Linked DNA regions of Nothobranchius furzeri. The protein of the gene in region 1 binds, or shares a complex with, the protein of each later gene. Links are inferred from orthologs where the notes say so. Each region holds a gene or a part of one and is shown on either strand. Other genes may lie near its edges. The genes, in order: filamin-C and fblim1.

Region 1 (7,691 bases):
AGCTCTGGATATTGGAAAGGTGAAGGTGGAAGGGCTGGATACCAGTAAGTAACATTACCACAGGTTATCACACAATTGCACAGGGTATACTGATATTAAAGTTTTCCACTGCACTCTCGCTTGCAGAAGTGGAGGTGGGAAAAGATCAGGAGTTCACAGTGAACACAAAGGGTGCAGGTGGGCAGGGCAACGTAGGTGTGAAGATGACATCCCCCTCTGGTCGACCCATCCCCTGCAAGCTGGAGTCAGACAAAACCAAAGGCACTCACAGTGTGAAGTACATCCCTCCAGAGGAAGGACAGTACAAGGTTGATGTGAGCTATGATGGGAACCCTGTGATGGGTAGTCCCTTTGGGGTTGAAGCAGTCATGCCAGCTGATTCTTCAAAGGTACCAAATCCAATCTTTGACTTCCTGAAAAAAAAAGGATTAAGTATTTCAGTTACTTTTCTGTTGAGGGTTAAAACTGGCTGTATGTTTGTAGGTAAGAGCCTTTGGTCCAGGCCTTAAGGGTGGCATTGTGGGTAAACCAGCTCCATTCACTATTGACACAAAGGGAGCTGGTGCAGGTGGACTTGGCCTGACAGTAGAAGGTCCCTGTGAGGCTAAAATTGAGTGCCATGACAATGGAGATGGGACCTGCTCAGTGTCCTACCTCCCCACTGATGCCGGCGAGTACGCCATCAACATCCTGTTTGCTGAGCAGCACATCCCTGGCTCCCCTTTCAAAGCCAAAGTTCGCCCAGCCTTCGATCCTAGCAAAGTAATGGCCAGTGGGCCGGGCCTGGAGAAGGCCAAGGCAGGTGAACCAGCAACCTTCACCGTGGATTGCACCAGAGCGGGTGACGCTGAGCTCACCATCGAAATTGTGTCCGAAACTGGGGTTAAAGCTGAGGTGCACATCCAGAAAACCTCAGAGGGTACCTTCTCTGTCACCTACATCCCATCCTTCCACGGATCTCACACCATCACCATCAAATATGGTGGACACGCAATTCCCTACTTTCCAAAAGTATTGCAAGTGGAACCCTCCTTGGACACCAGTGGAGTTCATGTCTATGGTCCTGGGGTGGAGCCTAGAGGTAAGCTCAAAATGCATTTCTGTCTCGTGTGAACAACGGTTGTTGAATTACCACTGTCACGCAGAAATCAGCATCAGTAGGGATGTTTGATGGCTCTGAGTTATTAGGCTTATTTGAGTGCTGGGCACCAAATCACCTGAAGTGCTTTTGTGTCTCAAGGGGTCCTCAGGGAAGTCACAACCCACTTCATTGTTGATGCGCGTGCCCTTAACAAGGCTGGTGGCAGTCATGTAAAGGTCCACATAATCAACCCCTCCGGCACCAACACAGACTCCTACATTACCGACAAGGGCGACGGCACTTACAGAGTGGAGTACACTGCCTTTGAGGATGGTAAGAGCACAGAGAAAATGTGAATCAATAATTAATGAAGTTAAACATTTGCTACATCCAATGTGGAGCAAACAAAGGATTTTACGTTAGTGGAGTCAATGTGCATACAGATGGACAAATCATTAACAGGTGCCTGTCTCAGGCATAATTTGGGAATAAAGCAGGAGAGTGGGAAAAGGAAGATGGAGTGAGAGAGGGGTATAAATACAGAATGATGCAGTCGAGCAATGATGTTAGGGGCAGAGAGCAAGCAGGCAGTGAGGCTCTGCTTTATAAATAGTGCGCTCTGGAACAGAAGCTCTTAACCAGGCAGGTATGTGTGCTGAAGACTGCCTGCACACAACGGTACAGCAAAGGAATGACATGGGGTATTAATAGAGACCTATAACACAAAGCAAAGAGATCACAGAGCGCTTCTCCACCAACAGACATGCTCTAATATCATGGCAGTGTGGCTGGGAATATGCTGTATAGGCCTACTGAGAGCACTCTGTCAGAAAAATGTTGTAACAGAATAATGAATAGGGAACAGATGTATCGTCTTGTCTGTTCAGTGAAGCGTCTGTACTCTGGATGGCATCTTTTATAAATAAACAGACGTTTGTCTCCCTAAAAGGGAATTTGACTGGCCCATAATTAAAGGCGAGAGGCATTAGCAGAAAATATTTGCCTTGCTTTGAGGACACAAACAAAATGTAAAACGTTAGTCAAGATGTTTCTGTTTGCATGCAGGAATGCATCTGATTGAGGTGCTGTATGACAGCACGCCTGTTCCTAAAAGCCCCTTCAGAGTGTTTGTGGTGGAGGGTTGTGATCCTACCCGGGTCCGTGCCTTTGGGCCAGGTCTAGAGGGTGGAATAACCAACAAGTCAAACTTTTTCACTGTGGAAACCAGGTACTGCTTCAATCACTCAGAGAAGATATATGTGCAAGGAAGTGTGCAAATATTAAATTTTAACATTATAGAGTTAAAGAATGAATGAATAATTAACAACACTGGCTTCTCTCTCAGAGGTGCTGGTACTGGAGGGCTAGGTCTGACGATTGAAGGAGCCTCAGAGGCAAAAATTTCCTGCAAAGACAACAAAGATGGCAGCTGCAGTGTGGAATATGTTCCCTTCACTCCTGGAGACTACGATGTAAATATTACCTATGGAGGTCAGCCCATCCCTGGGAGTCCTTTCCATGTGCTGGTGAAGGACCCGGTAGACCCCAGCAAGGTGAAATGCTCTGGTCCAGGTCTGGGCGCTGGAGTGAGAGCTCACGTTCCTCAGACTTTCACAGCGGACTGCACCCAGGCTGGGCAGGCCCCGCTGGACGTCAAACTCTATGGACCAACAGGTGGGAATCATCTCTATGAGGAAAAGGACTAACGTATTCACTAATTAGATTGTAAGCCTTTGCTTTATCATAACTTACAGGTAGTGTTGAGCCTGTTGGTGTGAAGAACAATGGGGACGGCACCCACACAGTTCACTATACCCCGGCACAGGACGGCCCCTACACTGTAGCGGTCAAATATGCAGATCAGGAAGTCCCGCACAGGTATAGTTTAATCAAACGTGTGTTAAAATACACATACCTAGTCAGGTCATGTCTTTAGAAATGTCTCCATTAAAACTCTCCCTGAATGGTTTTATGAAAAAGGAGGTGTGCTACAGTCGGTTTTCCATCCTTCTTTTATTTTCTCTCACACTGACTTTGTTAATTACCCTGTATGCTGCGTCTCAACAGTCCATTCAAGGTGATGTCTCAGCCTGGGCACGATGCCAGCAAGGTTCGTGCCAGTGGCCCAGGTCTAGACACCAAAGGTGTGGCTGCCAGCCTGCCTGTAGAGTTTACCATTGATGCTCGTGATGCTGGAGAGGGGCTGCTCACTGTGCAGATTCTGGTGGGTTCAGCACAAAGCAACACTCAGCTAATAATCAGACTCATGAGCCACTTAATATTTAAGTAAATTTAATCTTTTTTTTTTCCATAGGACCCAGAGGGCAAGCCGAAGAATGCGACTATCCAGGATAACAGGGATGGAACCTACACGGTGTCCTATGTCCCTGACTCTACAGGACCCTACACGATCACTATTAAATACGGAGGAGATGAGATTCCCTACTCCCCGTACCGCATCCAGTCCCTGCCCACAGGGGATGCTAGCAAATGCCGCCTCACTGGTAAAAAAACCATTCCATTTCTTTAATTGTTCATGTAAATAAAAAAAAAGATATATATTATAGTTGTTTTAACATTTTTCCCTTCAAATTTCCAGTTTCAATTGGAGGACACGGCGTGTGTGAGTAACAAAGACTTTATCTTTCTGTTTTAACATCACTTCTACTGCACGTGACAAGATCTAGGGATAATTTCATGTCTGATGCCACTTTCTATTCATCTCTTCTCTCTGTTCCTAACAGCAAGTCTCCATAAGCTGCAAACCTCCGAGGATACAGTGATCACTGTGGATGCCAAGGCAGCCGGCAAAGGCAAGGTGACCTGCAAGGTTCTCACCCCACAGGGGATGGAGTTGGACATGGATGTGGTGGAGAATCACGACGGGACCTTTGACATCTACTATACAGCCCCTGAACCCGGGAAATATGTAATTACCATCCGCTTTGGGGGCCAGAACATCCCAAAGAGCCCTTTTCAAGTGATGGTGAGGAAAGTACAATTGAACGATCGCTACAGTTTTGTGGCTGGTGTGCTTTTTCTGAGCGTTTGTCTTATTAAACTGCCAGGCTACAAACGAGCCAGTGGTTCCCCGTGATACCGTGGATCCTCTCTTTCGTCCTGTCAACTTCCTGGTGCCGTTCACCCCACAGCAGGGAGAGATCACAGGTCAGACTAACTCAAATAATAACAAAATGTTAGAACGCATGACTAACAAAGATGAGCGGCAAAACCTGAGGATTCTGACTTCACAACATTTTATCTCAGACCTGTTTTATGTAAACTTTTAAATTCATATAAATGTACATGTTTTATTTCTACAGGTGGTGTTAGTAATCCCAAATAGTTTAGGGACATTCACAAATGCAAACCAAAGCTCAGAACTCATGAGGCTAATGTTTGGCTCTAGGTGAGGTTCGGATGCCTTCTGGTAAAACGGGTCGCCCACACATCACCGACAATAAGGACGGCACCATCACGATCAAGTACCAGCCCACAGAAAGAGGCCTGCATGAGATGGACATCAAATATGATGGAAACCACATTCCAGGTCAGCAGGGCAGAAACAGTTTGCCTCCTCTTTCTTCTGATTTTATGGGTGAAATCCCATAAATGTCAGTCAAAGCTGCATTCGCTCAAGTTTAATGTTTTCAAATGATTTCGTCTCCTCACAGGGAGTCCTCTGCAGTTTTATGTGGACGCTGTGAACAGCGGAGTCGTGACTGCTTACGGTCCAGGTCTGAGTTATGGGACCGTGAACAAAGCTGCTGCTTTCACTGTGGTGACCAAGAACGCAGGAGAAGGTAAACATCACCTACATTTTTAATATTTTAAGGGATGAAACATTTCTGTGCTAAATGGCTGAAAACGGTTGTCTGAGCTTTGCATCCTTCTCCCAGGTGGTCTGTCACTTGCAGTGGAGGGTCCCTCTAAAGCTGAGATCACCTGCAAGGACAACAAAGATGGCACCTGCACAGTGTCCTACTTCCCCACAGCACCAGGAGACTACAGCATCATTGTCAAATTTGACAACAAGCACATTCCTGGCAGCCCCTTTACTGCCAAGATCACAGGTGGGGAAATGCATCCTTTTCCTTTTGGGCAGAATTTCTTCTCCTGATATGTGTTTATATCAGGGAGTTTATTGTAAACCAAAGCATGAACCAGCATTTTTTATGTTAGGGGATGATACCATAACCAGAACATCCCAGCTCAATGTCGGCACTGCTGCCGACGTGTCCCTGAAGATCGCGGAGACTGATCTGAGCTCTCTGACTGCCAGTATCAGAGCTCCATCAGGCAACGAAGAACCCTGCCTGCTCAAGAGGCTCCCCAACAGACATCTTGGTGAGACGTTTCCTCACAACAAACGCTAGATAGCGAGGGAATAGAGCACTGATAAATATCCCATTGATGTTTGATTTATTCTGTTGAGATTTTCAGCTCTTTTTTCAGTCCTTGTTGCTGATTGCGTTTCTTCCGGCCTCTCTTACAATCACAGGCATTTCTTTCACCCCGAAGGAGGTTGGAGAGCATGAAGTGAGTGTGAGGAAAAACGGCATGCATGTAGCAAACAGTCCTTTTAAAATCATGGTTGGCCAGTCTGAGATCGGTGAAGCCAGCAGAGTGAAGGCTTTCGGCAAAGGCCTGGTGGAGGCACACACTTTTGAAATGGCTGAATTTTTTGTGGATACAAGGAACGCTGGTGAGTCTTAAAAATGGTTCTGCGCCATTCTTCATAAGTACTGCCAGGTAAAATATTAAACTGTTTCATTTGTTCCCCTAGGCTATGGTGGACTGGCATTGTCAATTGAGGGTCCAAGCAAAGTAGATATCAACTGTGAGGACATGGAGGATGGAACGTGCAGGGTGACATACTGCCCCACCGAACCAGGAAGTTATACCGTCAATATCAAGTTTGCAGAAAAACACATCCCAGGTCAGAATTTGTTTACTTTAAAATAAATAATGAAAAAATCCTGAAAAAAAGAAGTAAATTTGTGCATTTCTCTGTCTTTGTGAAGGAAGTCCTTTCACAGTGAAGGTGACTGGAGAAGGAAGGATTAAGGAGAGCATTACCAGAAAGAGACAGGCGTCTTCTATTGCCTCAGTGGGCAGCACATGTGGTCTTAACCTCAAGATCCCCGGTGAGTACATCATCCGGTCAGAAACGGTTAGAGTGCAGCGGTCGACTGCTTTAAAATAAACGAGGTTGCTGCAGACATGTATTGGTATTCTCACTGCTTCTTCCTCCTGGCTGCAGGAAACTGGTTCCAGATGGTTTCAGCGCAGGAAAGGCTAACCAGGACATTCACCCGCAGCAGCCACACCTATACCCGCACTGAGCGGACAGAGATCAGCAAGACTCGTGGTGGGGAGACCAAGAGGGAGGTGCGAGTGGAGGAGAGCACCCAGATGGGAGGAGGAGGAGGAAGTCCTTTCAGAGATGTTTTTGGAGACTTTCTGGGCAGAGAGAGCCTCAGCAGCTTCGCTGGCATCACCTCCAGACCGGAGGGTGTGTCCATATCTTTGCTTTTAAGTCATAAAGATAAAAAAAAAGGAACAAGTGTTTAATGTGCTGCTTTGGTCTGACTCACCAGTTGAGAGCGGTTCCCAGGCCATGACAGCACAGGTGACCAGTCCCAGTGGGAAAACGGTGGATGCTGACATTGTGGATGGAGGGAGCAGCACATACAGCGTTCGCTTCATCCCCCAGGAGATCGGACCGCACACTGTGAATGTCAAATACAGAGGACAGCACGTACCTGGAAGCCCCTTCCAGTTTACAGTAGGACCCATGGGGGAAGGTGGAGCACACAAGGTCCGTGCAGGAGGACCTGGCCTTGCAAGAGGCGTGGCTGGAGCGCCGTGTAAGTTCACACTGTGGGGGTCATGTTACTGGGACGAATCCAGTTTGTACAGTGAAGTCAAGTGAATTAGAAACAAATCTAATATAATCCATGTATGGAATTTAAATTTGTTTTTTATACAACAAATCACAATTTAACATGATTAAAAATAATGAAAATGTGATGCATTGTACATTGACACAGTAGTAAAAGTGGCTGGATTAAATACAACATGCACATTTATGAGAATTTTAATTAGATGAAACTTTTTAAGGTGAATCATCCTCTTACTTAGCTTGTTTGGATCATTTACAGCTGAATTTAGCATTTGGACCAGAGAGGCAGGAGCCGGTGGCCTGTCCATTGCAGTAGAAGGCCCCAGCAAGGCTGAAATCTCCTTTGAGGACAGGAAAGATGGTTCTTGTGGCGTCTCCTACATAGTAAAAGAGCCAGGTAGCTTTCTGCCACCTAAAACACAGAATTTTACTCTTTTTGCATGCTTTCCACCTTTTATTCTTCTCCACTCGCTGTTTGGCTTTCCAGCTGTTTTCCGGTGCTTCCTGCAGTTCATTTGATTGTGAAAGTAACACATCTACTTCCCCAGGTGACTACGAGGTGTCAATCAAATTCAACAACGAGCACATCCCTGACAGCCCGTTCATCGTTCCAATTGCTACACTGTCAGATGAGGCCCGCAGGCTCACTGTGACAAGCCTTCAGGTGGGTGCACACACACACACACACACACACACACACACACA
Region 2 (8,226 bases), on another chromosome or scaffold:
TTCAGAAAGAAAAACACTTTTGGTCATCAACTATTTGGAAATTTGTCAGACAAAAATACAAAGAAAATTGTGGACTATAGATTTAAAATAATGGCATTAAACAATTAAATGTTTTTGATGAGTGATCAACTGAAAATTAAATAACATTTTCTCAGAAAGACCGGTCGCTATGTTCAGTGCCCCCCTCAACAAACAAACAAACAAACAAACAAACACTACCTAGATAAAAAAGGTGCATAGTAAGTATTAATGCAGTGAGTTTCATGTTATTTATATTGTATTAAACCCACACAGCGTCTATATTCTAACACTTCTGCTCTCATCATAAATTATGCCAGTGTGCCTTTTCATTAATTGCTGAATTTCACCCAACCATTCATCAGAGATCAAGCTAGTCACAGATGGTGTCATGGTGCTGTTCGGCCAATCAGCACGGGTCCGGGACGCTCCAAATATGGGTGTGTCTGAAGAACCGAAAAACTGCCTTCCTTTAGCTCGGTCTCTTCTCATATTTAAAGTCGGATCTCAAAAACGATTGATGGTAAGTTAATGAACCTCTCACATGACACAGCTGCCTAGTTAAGCACTTCTATTTGCTGTGTGTTAAACTGTATGAAGTTGGTGAAATTATAGCATCAAATCAAAGCTGCCATGTTGTGTCATATGCCCTGAACAAGTTCAATGTTTTATATTTATACGCAAAATCAAAATTTTTGATACATATTCTTCATATTGGAAGTAATAATATTGAATGTATTTTGCTGTTTCTTGCTAAGATTTCCATGGAAATTGGAGGACGAGTGACGAGGGATGATGATGATGATGATGATGATGATGAAGAGGAGGAAGATGGCACTGAGGCTAATCTTTTTTTATATAACAGTTGAAAATATTCTAATCTATATTTGATCTATATTGTTCAGTAACATTCAGAAATGTTCTGCTGTAGTCTGTTTTTGTAAACTTTTGTGTAAAGAGAACATTCTGTATTATTCTGCAGCTGTAGTGTTCTAGAATGTGATTCTAATGATATTGTTCTGCATTAATGTTTATTGCACTTGTTCAGGGCCAACCACCGTATATGAACACTTTATTTTCTGTGGATTTCTGCATGAAAATAAACATTTTTGAAAATTGCAACAGCAAAAGGAAACTTTTGTTATGAACCACAACAGGGCAGCAGTAGCTCAGCAGGTTGAGCGGGTTCGATCCCGGCTCCGGACAGAGAATCCTGCTGTTGTGTCCTTGGGCAAGACACTTAACCCACCATGCCTGCTGGTGGTGGTCGGAGGGACCGGTGGCGCCAGTGCTCGGCAGCCTCGCCTCTGTCAGTGCGCCCCAGGGCAGCTGTGGCTACATCGAAGCTCATCATCATCAGTGTGTGAATGTGTGTGTGAATGGATGAATGATACACTGTAGTGTAAAGCGCTTTGGAGTCCTTACTCTGAGAGGTGCTATACAAGTGTGGGTCATTTATCATTTATCATTTAACGGCACTCTGGGATTTACATTTTAAACTTACTTGCCGTAAAGGGTTCAAATGAAGGCAGGAACTGATGGTAACAAAATGCTTCATCATTTCCAGAGGAACAACACCGGCTGACGGTCTCAGAGACCCTCTTGCGCACTGTAGTGGTGCGACTGGGAGGCTTACTGGTGCTCATGCTGGCAGTGGGAACCTGGTCTGATGTGCTTCACGTCCTCGTATCTTTTATAGGAGAAGGAGTTTGTCTGCTGTCTTCTGAGGATCTGCTGCAGGCCGCTTTAAAGGTTTATTACTCTCTTGGCTTTGCACAACCGAGCCCAAAGGTTAACAGAAATGTGACTTTAACGATTCTGTTCCAGGAAGAACACGAAACCAGCTTCAGCAAAGAAGAACGAAGATTTAGTCCCAGCACAAAGACAGGAAAGTTCCTGTTAGATGACAGTTAATGGGATGCTTGCCTCAAACGCCGGTGACCTTTTTACACCTGGATGTGCTGATGAACGGAACAGCAGTTAAAAATGAGAATTTTGTGAACTTTGATGTTGAAATTCTTGGAAAATAAAAAATCCAACACAAAAAGGTGCTCGCCGTGTGAATCCGTTTCCTGCTACTTAAACGTAACGCCTGAAAGCGTGCTGTTGGAGAGGTTCACAGGGTTTAATGAGGATTTGGGCTGTTGAGGGGGTGGAGCGTGGTGGTCTTGGGTTTGTATCATCTGTGGGCATGCTCCTTCCTGCAGCCGTGACATCACTGCAGCATTCCTTTCCACAGAGCTGGAACAACAGAGACCCCCATCACTCTCCTCATCGCTGGCTCCCGTCAACCCTCTCTGCACATTCCTGCTTCACTCTGACCCACATACGGTCGGGTTCTGTCTCCAACCTCCTGCTTGACTTTTAGGCCTTCTGCTGATATACTAAGATCTCGTTTCACAATAATTATTCTCCCTGAAGCTACGTCTGCACGTCTGAGCACCAAACCTCCCCCCCGAAGAGTCTGATAAAGCCCACTGTAATCAAACTGTGTGTTCGGGTCTGGACATCTGTGGGGCCCAAATGGAGTTAATACCACAAGATTACTGATAGTGAGTCAAGGCTAAAGTGATATAATGTGGGGGAAGGGAAGCAGGAAAGAGGGAGAAGAAAAGGGGAGGCAGCCCCGACGAGGGAAGTAAGAAAAGTAAGGTTTACAGAACAATAAGCTGCACAAGAAAGAGAAGAAGAAAGGTTTGATGTAAAGAGCGAGGCAGGTAGAGTCACATCCTGCTGGCATGCAGAGATAAAAGTGGGAGGTGTCTCCGCTTGTCCACGTCAAGGTGAAAGCCTTTCACTCTATGCAATTGTAAAAACACTACCTTTGTCCTTTTGGAGTGACTGCACAGCTATTGCACAACTAAGCGTGGGTGTGTGTGTGTGTGTGTGAGCGTGTAGTTGCTTGAGAGTTTCTGTGATTGCCAAGTTTTCATAGCGGATGAATGTGTCATAATTTTTACTGAACTTTGCCAGAGATTAGTTGTTCACTTTTTATGGTCAGGAGGGAGGCTGTGCTGTCACTCAGCCAGAGGAGGAGGAGGAGGAGGGGAGAGCTGAGGAAGGAGGGGAGATAGAGGAGGAAAAGGAGTGGCTTTTCTGCAGATAGTCACCCCTCTCCACCGGAGTAAAGTCTTCTCTCAGAGGGAGCTTGTGGGAGTGAGAATAATCGGGAAAATTTGAGATACCAAGCAAGGAAGACAGAGGAAGGAGAAGGGAGAGGCACGTTTTAGTTTCAGGTACGTCAGAGCACTTCAGCGTGAGTGGGTTTGAGAGAAACAGATGATACAGATCTCTGCTTTTTACATCTTTAACCATTCATTATGGGTTGTGAGTTGAGCTGCGAGAGTGTGAACGGATTTCTGCAGAGATGACAAAGACTGTTGGTGAACGAATTCAATCTAAACATTTTTCTAGATCATTGTTCTGAGCCTCTGCCAGGCTGTACGGAGGTTCCATACAGCCATGGCATCAGCAGCTCCACCAAAAAGGATGGTGTCCTCTGTCTTCATCACACTGGCGTCTCCTCATCGAGCCACCGTGTCACAGCAACAACCTGCCCTCCAGGCCAGCACTGGCCCGGTTAGAGACAAACAGCACAACACTGTCAGAGCCACCCCAGGTGAAAACGCACCTGTTTACAGATACAAGAAACAGGACCAACCATCACCTGACACCTACAGCTCAGTTAATAGCAGAGACTGGACTCATGGAAGGCCCTCAACATCATCATCATCATCAGACCCTTTGAGCCCTAAAGTGGCCCCCAATGGATCCACCAAAGCACAGCTGCAAGAAGTAAAGGACCAGACAAAGAGGATCATTCCCGGTATTCATAGTGAAGGTTGGCTAAAAACTTAACTATGTGAAATACTCCTCAAAGTTTACTTTGACTATGACCCCATTTGGTCGGTCACGCTTCTATGAAGGGAGACTGCATTCATTTATGTGTATAATTATGCAATAATCCAACTTTTTTGGAACCACTCCCAATTATTTTGAACACGTCCCTAACTTTGATGACAGTTGCGTGAATTTCAGCTGTCGGACTTCAACTTTTCCTTTGTCTGGACAAACTTTTTGTGGAGATAAAGGCTACAAGTTGTTGGAAAATGTGGAAAAAGGTGTGTTTTTCCACGTGTATTATTGGTATACTTTAAAGGTGCAATTTTATTGTATTCAATTTTACTGTGACTAGTCACCAAAAAGTTTAATGTCTCAGTCATGTTGGCTGCAGGATGTCAGTTTTCCTTCCTCCAAAAGGAAGAAAAGGGATGTAGTCTGTGTTTACAATCTGGGAGCCCACATGTTAGCCGAGTCTACGCGAGCTAACGCTGCAGCACTGGATTTTGTAGTTCGACACCGGCTGGCAAAACGCAGCAGCGCCTTGTAAAGATCCTAAGCCAGTTACAGGTGCTACCCAGAAGTTATTTCTTGTACCCCTAAGAAGTCACTGCATATTTTTTGTTTTACTCTAATATCTGGTAAAGAAGGCTAGAGGCTAACATTGAGCTAATAAAGTTAACAGTGAATTAGAAACCCATAATTGTCTCAAAATAAATATCAAGCTACTTTTTCAGTTGCAAACAACTTAACATTACAGTGAAATGTATTTATTTGATTATCAATTTACTGCGTATGACTCGTCATCACGCATCATCAAGAATCTTCTGGTGCTAGAGACCGTGGCTGTGAACAGCCATGAAACTGTGGGAAAGTGGTGAGAAAATAACAGTTTTGAAAATGGGCTGCAGTAATTGAATGTGACCACAGGATGTCCTTGTTACTTAATTCTTACATAATGCACCTTTAAGGCCATGTAAGTAAAGGAAAATGTACAAGTATTTTTTCCTACTATTTCATATTTTTTTCTTTGCCAAACAGAGCTCTTACCTCCTCCTCCTACTGATGTACCGCCCTCCTCTCCTGGAGGAAAGCTCTCTGAGGAGTTATCACTTCCACCACCACCTCAAACATGTCTCCTTCATCTCCAGAGCCAAGACCAGCATCCAGTTAGCAACAACAAGGTATTCAAACTTCCTGCTAATGTCTGTAAAAAAAAAAGTAAATTGTGCTCCGTAATCTCTATATAATCTACAGAAAGATAAGGAAAGTGGTTCTGAGGCTCAACAGGATGTCTATTGTTTTTTCTGGTCCATTTTCTAGTCTTCCTGTGGTTTTTGTTCTTTACAGGATTTTTTTTTACCCAGCACAATTACGGCCTCTCCAGCTGTAAGTCATTTAATCAACGTTGTTGCAGTTTATTAGTTCAAAAGCCACAAGTGATGACTAGAGATCCTGTCAGTAAGATTTAAAGGTGTGGTTCACTGAAAAGCCATTTTTAAATTACTTCTGATTATAGTCGGTTAGTTTTTCATGCAGGCTGAACATGAAAATAGTCTCTGACACCCATTAGCTTCTGATAGAAAATAGAAGGTGAAACCTTACGATTTGAAAATCTTGACAGATCTACATCACACTGTCACTGAAAGCTAGACTCACCCATCCTGACACACGACAGGGAAGGCTGGAAACAGCAGAGAATGTCTCAGTTAACCATTAGCATTAGCCACTCCACCACACAGCAGAACTCTTTCAGGCTTCTGTTATTTGTGGAGATAAAACATCAACGTCGCAGAGCACAGTCAGTGGCAGAGTCACAGTGTCGTTAGCCAATCAGAGGCGAGATGTCCAGACATCAGGAAATAGGACTCCAAACCCTGCCGCCTGAAGCTCAACTCTGATGTGGCTCACTAGTTCCTGAAACAGGGGCACCAGGACACTCATTCCTACTAGAGACACTGTAAATGTATTGATTAAATGAGTGAACCACACCTTTAAAGCTCTTAAAAAACGCAGAGTATAACTTTACTGACATAGCTGTGGATGACCAAAACAAATCTGATAAAATCAAGCTCAGATCTTTTTGCTCTCCATTATCAAACTCAGTTGGCGATAATCTTTGCAGGTCCCTTCGTACCCCCCCCCCCCCTATATTTATCTCAGTTTGATGAAGTTTTACATGAATGGGATTTTAATTTAAGGTGGAGAGATGCACGCCATCTGGTTGGTCGACCGGAGATTATGAAACCCATGAGATCCTTCAAAACAGCCAAGACACAAACAGGGAAAGCAAAGGTACCACCCACACCCTTTAAACGGTACAGAGATCATAACCCTTTATGAACTTTTGCTATTTGTTTCAACTGCAGACGTGTGCGGTTTTTGTCGGAAAACTGTAGCCTTTCCTGAACCTGCTTTAGAGGCCCTGAACAGAACCTACCACGAAAGCTGCTTCCACTGTAGATCCTGTCACGTCCCCCTGGCTGGTAAACAGTACTACAACAAGGCAGGAATCCCACTCTGTGAAAGCTGCTACCAGGTCTGAGTCACCATAATCTCACTTAGAACCACAACACACACACACACACACACCTATACACACACAAACTCTGGAAAAGTTGTTCACACCTGCAGCTGTCATGTTGTGGTGTAGGTATCTAACCCACGACATACAGAATCAGTTCAGAGGCGGTGGTGAAAGTTGTAAACAAATAATTTATTAAGAGGAACCAAGGGAGCAGCAAAACGTAGCTGATATCTTCAACGGGGTCGGGAGCGGGAATCTGCAGACCGGCGTAAGTTAGGTCCAACTTGAGAAAAGGGGAAACGGGTAATATTGAATCTGCAGAGAACTTAGTCTGTAGGAGGGAATTGCTCGGGGTGGGGGGGGTGGGGAGCAATTGTTGGTCTGGTCTGGGTAGATGATGGTTTCTTGGAACGGGGGGGTTCCTGAGTTGGAGGTGGAGGGAGCTGAGCGAGGAGAGGGTGCGAATCCAGGTGAGAGTTGGTGGGCTACTGGAGGTGGAGTTGACCAGGGAGTAAACCGAGAGACGAGCGGAGATGAGTTTCACCAGAGTTCAGCCAGTCAGAGATGGGAGTGGAGGTTTTGTCTGAAAACAGTAACAGAAGATCAAAAAATGCAAAAATCCAAAGTTCAAAAGGCACGAGAGCTCAAAGCTAAAAACACTCAAATGTTCAATCTCTAGATGGCTTAAAAGTACCCAAGGAAGAGTAATTATCCAGCGAAGTGATGGGGTCTCTCAGCAGCTTAAATACTCCCTGGCCGGCTGATGAGCTGATCGTCTACAGCTTGGCCACCTCCAGACACGCTCACCTGCAGCGGGAGACTCAAAACCAAAACACAGATGGCAGGAGGAAACCCAGACCATGACAGCAGCTGCATCTTACACTGCCGGGCTCAACAAAAGTGGCAACCTGGATCTATTATTTTAGGGTTGCTGCAGTTTTCAGTAACATTATTAGCTCAAAAAAGGAAGGCAGATACCTGAAAACACTGAATATCCACGTTATTCCATCATAATTTTCACTCATGGATTGGCCACCAGAGTCTGGACCTTAATACCCTGTAGTTGTGCTATGATGACTCTGAGCAGTGGTCAAACTCTCCCATCATCAATATAAGATCCTGGTGAAAAATTAATCCAATACTGGATGAATATAAATCTAGCTAAGCTGCAGAAACTTCTTGAAACAGCAAATGGGAATATGTGCTGTAAGCGTTCCAATTACATATTAGGTGCATATTAAGTGCGTGACCTTGTTGTTATTTTGGTTGGGTAGTGTATGGAATTGATAAATATTTAAGACGGTTGAGGAGTTTTACAGCTCTAAACTGAGATTCTCGTTCTAAGGTTAAAAGTGTGACTCAATTACGAAAAACAGACCAAATGCCAAGCAAGGTTCATTGGCAAAAACAGACAAAAGCCATTTTTAATCAAAATCACCAAATTTTATTTTCACTTACATTTCCTTTTAAAATGCATTAAAGCTGAGTTCCCTCTTTCAGCAAATGAGCTCTTGTAACAAACTGACGAAAACCAGTTTAATTAGATTAAAACGTTTTTATTTGTTTGTTTCCCCCCAAAAATTAGACTTTATTTTCCTAACATTTTTCAACCCTTGATTTTTTTCCCCCTTGAATTTTAGGCAAGTTTGGAGCTCTGTTGGTCTTGCGGTGAGGTCATCACAGATCACATCATCCGCGCCCTAGAGCGAGCGTACCATTCTTTCTGTTTCACCTGCAAAACGTGCAAACAGCAAATTGGTGAGCAAGCATTTGCTCAGGGAGAAGTCGGAGAAGTTTACTGCCTCAAGGACTACTACAAGTAATCACTGATGAAAAGAACT

What was found.
Region 2: the proteins of filamin-C (region 1) and fblim1 are in contact, whole or in part, in an NMR structure (PDB 2K9U), measured with the Homo sapiens proteins. The link is inferred for Nothobranchius furzeri from reciprocal best matches to the Homo sapiens genes FLNC and FBLIM1. Residues at the interface, in NP_001449.3 of Homo sapiens: Thr2339, Ala2344, Gly2345, Gly2346, Leu2347, Ser2348, Ile2349, Ala2350, Val2351, Glu2352, Gly2353, Pro2354, Ser2355, Lys2356, Ile2359, Phe2361, Asp2380, Glu2382, Phe2387; in NP_001337080.1 of Homo sapiens: Arg8, Val9, Ala10, Ser11, Ser12, Val13, Phe14, Ile15, Thr16, Leu17, Pro19.

What each region holds. Positions count from the first base shown.
Region 1 is NC_091744.1:62,148,193-62,155,883, forward strand, and holds part of filamin-C, read left to right. Parts: coding exon 1-44; intron 45-126; coding exon 127-389; intron 390-483; coding exon 484-1,081; intron 1,082-1,240; coding exon 1,241-1,414; intron 1,415-2,146; coding exon 2,147-2,309; intron 2,310-2,426; coding exon 2,427-2,755; intron 2,756-2,835; coding exon 2,836-2,959; intron 2,960-3,148; coding exon 3,149-3,305; intron 3,306-3,395; coding exon 3,396-3,585; intron 3,586-3,680; coding exon 3,681-3,704; intron 3,705-3,825; coding exon 3,826-4,067; intron 4,068-4,149; coding exon 4,150-4,249; intron 4,250-4,490; coding exon 4,491-4,631; intron 4,632-4,755; coding exon 4,756-4,884; intron 4,885-4,980; coding exon 4,981-5,154; intron 5,155-5,263; coding exon 5,264-5,428; intron 5,429-5,582; coding exon 5,583-5,786; intron 5,787-5,867; coding exon 5,868-6,020; intron 6,021-6,105; coding exon 6,106-6,228; intron 6,229-6,344; coding exon 6,345-6,596; intron 6,597-6,681; and 6 more.
Region 2 is NC_091743.1:45,857,247-45,865,472, reverse strand, and holds the start of fblim1 (filamin-binding LIM protein 1), read left to right. Parts: upstream 1-3,080; 5' UTR 3,081-3,254; intron 3,255-3,432; 5' UTR 3,433-3,480; coding exon 3,481-3,859; intron 3,860-4,899; coding exon 4,900-5,042; intron 5,043-6,059; coding exon 6,060-6,153; intron 6,154-6,227; coding exon 6,228-6,397; intron 6,398-8,025; coding exon 8,026-8,204; intron 8,205-8,226. Other genes in the region: transmembrane protein 82, read left to right, coding at 1,586-1,770, 1,846-1,932. UniProt on the Homo sapiens protein: Serves as an anchoring site for cell-ECM adhesion proteins and filamin-containing actin filaments. Is implicated in cell shape modulation (spreading) and motility.